2 linked regions of the Caenorhabditis elegans genome follow. The protein of the gene in region 2 interacts with the protein of the main gene of each other region in a biochemical or structural test. Each region holds a gene or a part of one and is shown on either strand. Other genes may lie near its edges.

What was found. Proteins that work in one complex are often made in the same cells at the same time.
Region 1: of the proteins of flp-7 (region 2) and frpr-3, one has a biochemical effect on the other in vitro, tested with the Caenorhabditis elegans proteins (one study listed by BioGRID).

What each region holds. Positions count from the first base shown.
Region 1 is NC_003283.11:7,769,461-7,773,769, forward strand, and holds frpr-3 (G-protein coupled receptors family 1 profile domain-containing protein), read left to right. Parts: upstream 1-1,800; 5' UTR 1,801-1,867; coding exon 1,868-2,470; intron 2,471-2,839; coding exon 2,840-2,942; intron 2,943-3,214; coding exon 3,215-3,380; intron 3,381-3,429; coding exon 3,430-3,545; intron 3,546-3,592; coding exon 3,593-3,687; 3' UTR 3,688-3,809; downstream 3,810-4,309.
Region 2 is NC_003284.9:5,884,301-5,887,376, forward strand, and holds flp-7 (TPMQRSSMVRF-amide 2), read left to right. Parts: upstream 1-1,564; 5' UTR 1,565-1,566; coding exon 1,567-1,661; intron 1,662-1,777; coding exon 1,778-1,816; intron 1,817-1,868; coding exon 1,869-2,159; intron 2,160-2,206; coding exon 2,207-2,315; 3' UTR 2,316-2,533; downstream 2,534-3,076. UniProt on the Caenorhabditis elegans protein: FMRFamide-like neuropeptides. Stimulates serotonin-induced fat loss by binding to and activating the npr-22 receptor which leads to induction of the atgl-1 lipase and subsequent fat loss.

The sequences.
Region 1 (4,309 bases), on a different chromosome or scaffold from region 2:
TTTTCTGAAAATTGGTTATTCCTTTAGATCACAATTTTTATTTGTTTTCTTGTTCGATATAATAAAACCTTTAGGAGTATTCCTAGAATTTTAAAGAATAGAAAATATTTATATTTCATAACAAACACCAATCTTTATAAAAAATAGAACTTCACCTCTTCGTGCTCACAAAATGCAAACTTCTAGACCTCCTTGAAGTGATCTCCGTATTTTTTCATTAGTTAGACATAGTTTATGCTTTCACCTACGTTAGCGCTCAATATATAAATATCCCTTTATCCCTCTGTTAATTCAAATACTTCCTGATCCCTCCGAAATTTCAAAATGAAAGGGGTTTCAAGCTACTTGCTTTTTTCGGATTCTCTTAATGAGTTTGAATGTACTTTAAAAAACCAATGCTTTCATGAGTAGGATATAAATTAGCAACTAACTTTCCCGGGACCTCCTACACTTTGTTGCTCAAGTACGTCCCGCCCATAAGCTGTTCGTGGCTCCCCATCTCCGGACCCAATAATTGCCCTCATAACGTGTTCGTTTCTCCTTTGTTATCTGAATCTTCTTCGCGTTTTTCCTTTTCTTTTTTTCCCTACTTTTTGCTCTTCACTTCTGTTTCTTCAATGTTTTTATTTGGGGGCTTCAAGTATTAATGATCACGTCTGAACCAGGTAGTGTTGCAAAAATTCTTGATAATTACTTTTTCTTGTTCCTTTTCATTTTATAGTCTAGCCTTTCCAAATAGGTCAATTGAATTCTCTAGCAGAAAGATACTGGGGAAAAAATAAAAGATCAGGTAATTTTAATCATGTCATACCTACGTGCCTACCTATACCTTTTTGAATAAATGTTGGAACATTAAAGGTTCAACTATCAAATTAGAAAAAAAAGTACATCTTGTTTACTTCAACAATAAACAAGACGCAATGGTAGGCTCTTCAGTTTACAATCTAAAATTTTCCGAACCTTTTTCAAGTGTCTGCGAATTTCTGTGAATTTCAAAGAATTTCGTGGAAAATGTCACAGAACGGATTTTTATGAAAATTTTCGGAGAAATGCGAATTCCTCAATTTTTGTAGGACCAAAAATAACTCGGATTCTCAGTACCCACCTGTTTTTGAAAGCACGTCTGAGCCATAGGCAACGCCAAATATCTGAAGCCTGAGTCTAAACCAAGCCTAAGCCCAAACCTAAAATCAGAATCCAGGATCTGATGACAAAGAATCGTGCACTAATTTCAGGAATATGTCCCACCCCCACGGAAGTGCATTATGATGAGATGAATCTATATGAATTATTAAAGTTGTTTGGAGAGTGTGTGTGGTGAAGCTGTCAGTTAGCAGGCTTTATTTTGTTTGCGATCCATCTTTTCCTATCTGGAAAATTTGATGAAGTTGTGAGCATTTCAAGAACATGGGGTTCCCCGAAGAGGAACAATTGTGCCCCTGTTTCCAGTTGCCACCAAATGAACAGCTGAGCAATATTCATCAATTAGCTCAATTTCCTCCCTCCATTTTCTTATTTTTTCTTCAGTTTTCTTGGACATCTCTATTTTTACGTTCTGTATTCTATAGGATGCTAGTATTTTAAATATGTTTTATATGGCGTGGTGCACAGGTGTTGTGCGCACCTTCTATTTCTACATTAGGTGCCTCAGCAAAATGTAAGCCTAGGCTGCCTAGAAAGAAGGTTTTAAAAGTATTAGAGTGCTATGACGTCATGCGTATCTTAGAAAATAATATTTCCCTTATTGTCTGTGTTCTTCCTTGCATTCACTGTTCCTCTACGCACCTTGAACTTTTGCATTTTCAGCTCATAAATGCACAATTGACCAACAAACATCTTCAACTTCCACTAAACTCTCACAAAAACAATGTTGCTACTACTCTCCCGGGTTCTGGTGAACGTGATGGTGCTGATGTGCTTTGGTGGAATTCTCACGAACTTCATCTCATTCTACATCTACACTCGTAAAACATTCCGGAAAAAGAGCATAAACGTCTTGCTCGCAGCCTTGTCAATGTCTGACCTTTGCGTCTGCGTTCTTGCAATTCCAGTTTTTGCAAGTACTCAACTTCAACAAGTCATTCCGCCAACAATTACTGCAATGATCATGGTGTACTTGTATCCAGTGACCATAATGTTCCAGTCAGTGTCAGTATGGTTGCTGGTATCCATAACAATTGACAGATACTTAGCCGTATGTCATCCATTCATGGTCAATACGTATTGTACAAGGAATCGCGCTCTCATAACTGTTGGAGTTGTCGTGATATTCAGTGTTGCTTACAATTTGATTCGAATTTGGGAGTACACGATAAATTTCGATGTCGCTCCTGAGAATCGTACGATTGAAGATCTTGTTGTACCGAAGCTTCGAGCAAATCCGCACTTCTTATTGTGGTACCAGAATGTTGCCACGTTGGTGTCGCAATTCGCATTTCCACTTACAGTGTTATGTGTTCTCAACATTCAAGTAAGTTGGTTACAATGGGTTGAGGAGTAGGAGTAGGCCTTAGGCTCAGGCTTATGCTTAGATGTATGCTTAGGTTTAAGCTTAAACTTAGTCTTAGGCTTAATCTTAGATTTAGGTTTCGGCTTAGGCCTTGGCTTAAGCTTAGGCTGAGTCGTATGCTTAGGATTAGGCTGAGTATTAGGCTTAGGCTTACGTTTAGGCTTGGTCGTGTGCTTAGGCTGAGGATTAGTCATGGGTAGGGTCAGTATTACATCCTAGACTTAACTGAAGGTAGGACATTATTTTTATTTATTTAGATAAAGCATGTAATCCTAAAAACGATTAGTTTTAGTGTAACTGCCCAAATTTTCTAACAAAGCAATTTTCCAGGTAGCGCGAACAATTATCGAGGCATCCGAGCAACGAAGAGAACTAGTGGCAAGTGTGAAACGAGAACATTCGACTGCAAAAATGATGATAATGGTTGTTTTAGGTAAGATTCATTTTTTGGATATTCTAGAAATCGGATTTTTGCTCAGTGGTCGTGAAAATGAAAATACGGTCACACTCATAGACTGATAGAAGGGATTTGCGGTAAAAATTTGTTTTATTTTTTTCTACCTACCGCGAGGACAAACCCAATCTTAAAATTAGTCACTAGTTTTGAGAAACATTAAATTTTTTGGATAGCATTTGATGAAAAAATTATTTACATATCCCCAATACAATTTAGTATTAAAGTCAACAAAGTCATGAAGCTTTCAGTATTCCTCGTTTGCTACATCTTCTCATTTATTCTAAATATATGGGAAATTCTTGACAAGGAGACTTTTGGAGGAGATATTGGTTGGTTTATGAATGACATCAACAATGTACTTATTGTTGTCAACTCGACGAGTGCAATTGTTTTCTACTATAAATATTCAACAAGGTAACGAGACCTTTAATAAATAGAATATTAAATTTTTTGCCCATTTTAGGTTCCGAAATCAAGCACGGACACTTCCCGGGATACGGTGGTATGCTAGTATGTCAAAGTTCAATGTATATGATACAGAGGCAACATCAAATCGAACAATGGTCACTAGATACAAAGGTTTTTTAATTTGTAATAATATTATATCCTTACCCAATTCTTTTCAGAATCCATGATTTCAATAAGAGGCACGTCAACTCGCCTGAGCAGCTCTCACAATTTGCTCTACAAACCGAGCTACTCAAAGCCATGTGATATCTAGGAATTTGTCACAATTTATTGCCATAATCGAATTTTTGTTGTTAACGGGTTTTTAAGTGACATATCGTTTTCTTCTTTTTATCTAACAATTTTCACTGGTGTTTTTGAAAAATAAACTATCATATACTTATCATGGATTACGAAAAGAAAATCCCAGATTTTTTGAGATTTGTTTCTTAAAGTTAAAATACGTTTTCCAGGCGATGCCAAGTTTCGTTTTTCGATTTAGAATTGTATAAATACAATTTTTTCACTTTTTAAAAATAACTACTGGTTTAAAAACAGTACTGACAGAGAAACTAAAACTTTTTAAAAAATTATTATCCAGCTGTGAACTACTGAATTTTTCGCTTTAAAATATTGGTGCCCGTTCTCACCACGAACGTCACCTTTTCAAAAAAAAACTTTAAGAATTACAGTGATCCACTCTATAGAGGTGCACGGATTTATTCAGATGGGTCTCGGCGCGCTAAAAAGTTTATGGTAGTATGTTTTTTTTTTAATTTTTGCAGTTGCGTCCTCGTCCTCGTTTTTCCATTTATCAATTCAATTAATTTACTTAGTATGTCGAATTGTATCGTTAAAAAATTCGCTTAAAATGACGTAATTTCATTGAAAAATGG
Region 2 (3,076 bases):
TCTCACATCTTTTGCTCGAGTTACGATAATTGAGGAAACGTTTGAAATTAAATGCACAGGTGATTCTATAAAATACTTATGGAATGTTTTTGAAAGGGTTTTGCAAAAATACTCAAACGCATCTACAATAAGTGTACATACGTAATATGACATATCACCCAGATTCACAAAACCACATGTTTTATAGATATGGTACTTGGTTTCAACAATTTTTAACATACTTTGAAAAAGAGCAAAAAGTATGTTTTACATTATTTATTGAAAACTCGTGTCAAGACCTGTTATTGTACTTAAGTTTTTTATCTGAAACTATTTTAAACTCTACATTTCACAATCAATGATCAAAAGAAAAACTGACCGAAATTTCTTTTTTTTTATTTTAAACTAGTTTTTGAACAAAATTGAACTTAAAAAACTTCAGTATCCACAATTGAAAAAAAACGTCATTTTTTGATTTTCTTAATCTTGAAGCTGTATTGTAATGTACTTAAAATTATTTTTGTTATGCGACTCTTATAATATTTTACATAAAAAGGACTAGATAAATATGTGTTTGTGCATCACAACCCCCGTTTAAAAATAAATTGAACTTTCATTCATTTATTCATTTCAATTAAACATAATATATTTTATAATTTTTTTTCAGGCTCCAAAATGACTTTTTTATAGGTTGAAGAGCCTGATAATAGTTTTAATAATACCTAAATTTATAAATTGAAATTTCAACGTACATCAGTACGGATAACTTTGTGTCTAAGTAATACATACAAAATTTTTGGAAACTTATTTGTTGAATTAATTTTTATTTTTGCCTTCTTCTAACACTTCCTCCTAAATTCTCAACTGACCGCTCAAAAGGTTTCAAACATCTTTCTCTTTGCTCTTCTGGAGAGTGCTTGCTAGTATCCTAAAATACCCGACACAATCAAACAGAGATGGACCGCGTGAATAATGAAGTGTCCCAAGATCCGTATAATTCACTTTGATTGCTCTGTGAACTTGGATTTTTTTAATCGGGCTAATGCGTCTTTAGCAAAAATAGCCAACCATCTCAATGGATTCCAACCTAATTTTGATTTTTTTTTTTTTTGGTGTTATTTTTTCTCCTTGTTCCGATTTCCAGTTTTTGTTTGGACGAAGGCGGAGTCATAGCATCAGACAAGGTTAGAAGGCATGAGAAGAAGGGGGTGGAGCATGAGCCTTTCTCGAGCTCAGGAATATGAAAGCGTATATAAGTATGGATAGCAGCTTCTATTGCGTTTCTGATTGTGATTATTTTGCCCCGTCATCAGTTTTCTTTTCAGTAAATTGTCAAATACAAATTTTTTGATTACTGTTGCTTGGTCTTGTGCAATCCACTCAATCTTGAATCCAATTTGCAGTTCAAGTTACAAATTGAATTTCCCTCTGCCAACACTCAAAGAAGGGTTCTTTTTTTTGACTTTTCAACTTTTCTCCTCATTTTTTCTCGATTGAAATTTCAATTTTTAAACCACTCCGCGTCATGTTTGGAAACATGACGTCATCGAAAAATACCATCTCGTTTTCATTCAAAGACTTTTAGAAATGCTTGGATCCCGCTTCCTTCTTCTTGCTCTTGGTCTCCTAGTTTTGGTATTGGCCGAGGAATCAGCCGAACAACAAGTTCAAGAACCAACTGAGTGAGTTGAGATTTATTGATATTATGTTGTTCTTGTTGTCGTGATTTGTTGAGTGAATAAATTTATTTTATTATTCTGAATGAACTCCTATTTTTTCTATTTTTTATATTTTTCAGACTCGAGAAGTCAGGAGAGCAACTCTCAGAGGAGGACTTGTGAGTTGTTATTATTCAGAAAAAACTTTATTCTCACACTATGCACTTTTAGAATTGACGAGCAAAAGCGTACTCCAATGCAACGCTCATCAATGGTTCGGTTCGGACGGTCACCAATGCAACGCTCATCCATGGTTAGATTCGGAAAGCGTTCGCCAATGCAAAGGTCCTCAATGGTTCGCTTTGGAAAACGGTCGCCAATGCAACGATCTTCAATGGTGCGTTTTGGAAAACGTTCACCGATGGAGCGTTCGGCTATGGTTCGCTTTGGAAGATCACCTATGGACCGATCGAAAATGGTCCGATTTGGTAGATCATCAATTGATCGCGCTTCTATGGTTCGGTACGTATTGACGTGAAAAGTATTTTGTGAATAAAGCTGAAGTTCAGACTCGGAAAACGGACACCAATGCAGAGATCATCGATGGTCCGTTTTGGCAAACGTTCGATGGAATTTGAGATGCAATCAAACGAGAAGAACATCGAGGACAGCGAATAAACAAGTACATGCAAACACCTTGATTACCAAGAACAAAACGGTCTCACATTGTAGTTTAATCTCGTTCTACGGCCTATTCTTACCTTTTTCATTTATGTATTTTTTTTTGACAATTATTTTTGTGCCACTTGACTAATAGTACAGATTGGTCGCTACCCAAATACTCCAGTGTATCAAAATTAATTTGCGATTTGCAAAATAAAGAACCGACGCCTGTTTTCCAGTCCTTCATCTTAAATTCATGCAATGCAAAGGATGAGAGGATTTCAAAAAAATAAAACTATAAAAAACAGGAAAATTGTTCAGAATGGCTAATACGGTGAGTCTGGTAAGTTGATTAAAAACAATGTACATTTTTTGCTTTTTGGACTAGTTTCGCGCCATAAAGCATTGTGTCCCGAGCCTGGTTTCATGTCCACTCATTCGCTGCAGTATTCAAATATGATCAAACCTGCCCAGCTACAGAAAAGCCTGATCTCGCGCCTTTCCCTATAACGTTAAAAGTTGTTAACTTTATTTCAAAGTGCATCGACTCTCCTAGGAGAGCGTCGTATGAGTTAAGTTGAACTTTTCAGAAAATAATCCAAAATGATTATTAACATTGTAAAGGCTTCTCAATCCCTACGGCAATAAATCATACAGAGCTTTTTGGTCATGGTCACCCGCTCGTTTTCCTGAAAATCAGAAATATACGTATTTGGATAATAGAGGTTTATTGAGAAAGCCTAAATCTAATAAATTTCAAACCGACAATGGTAAAT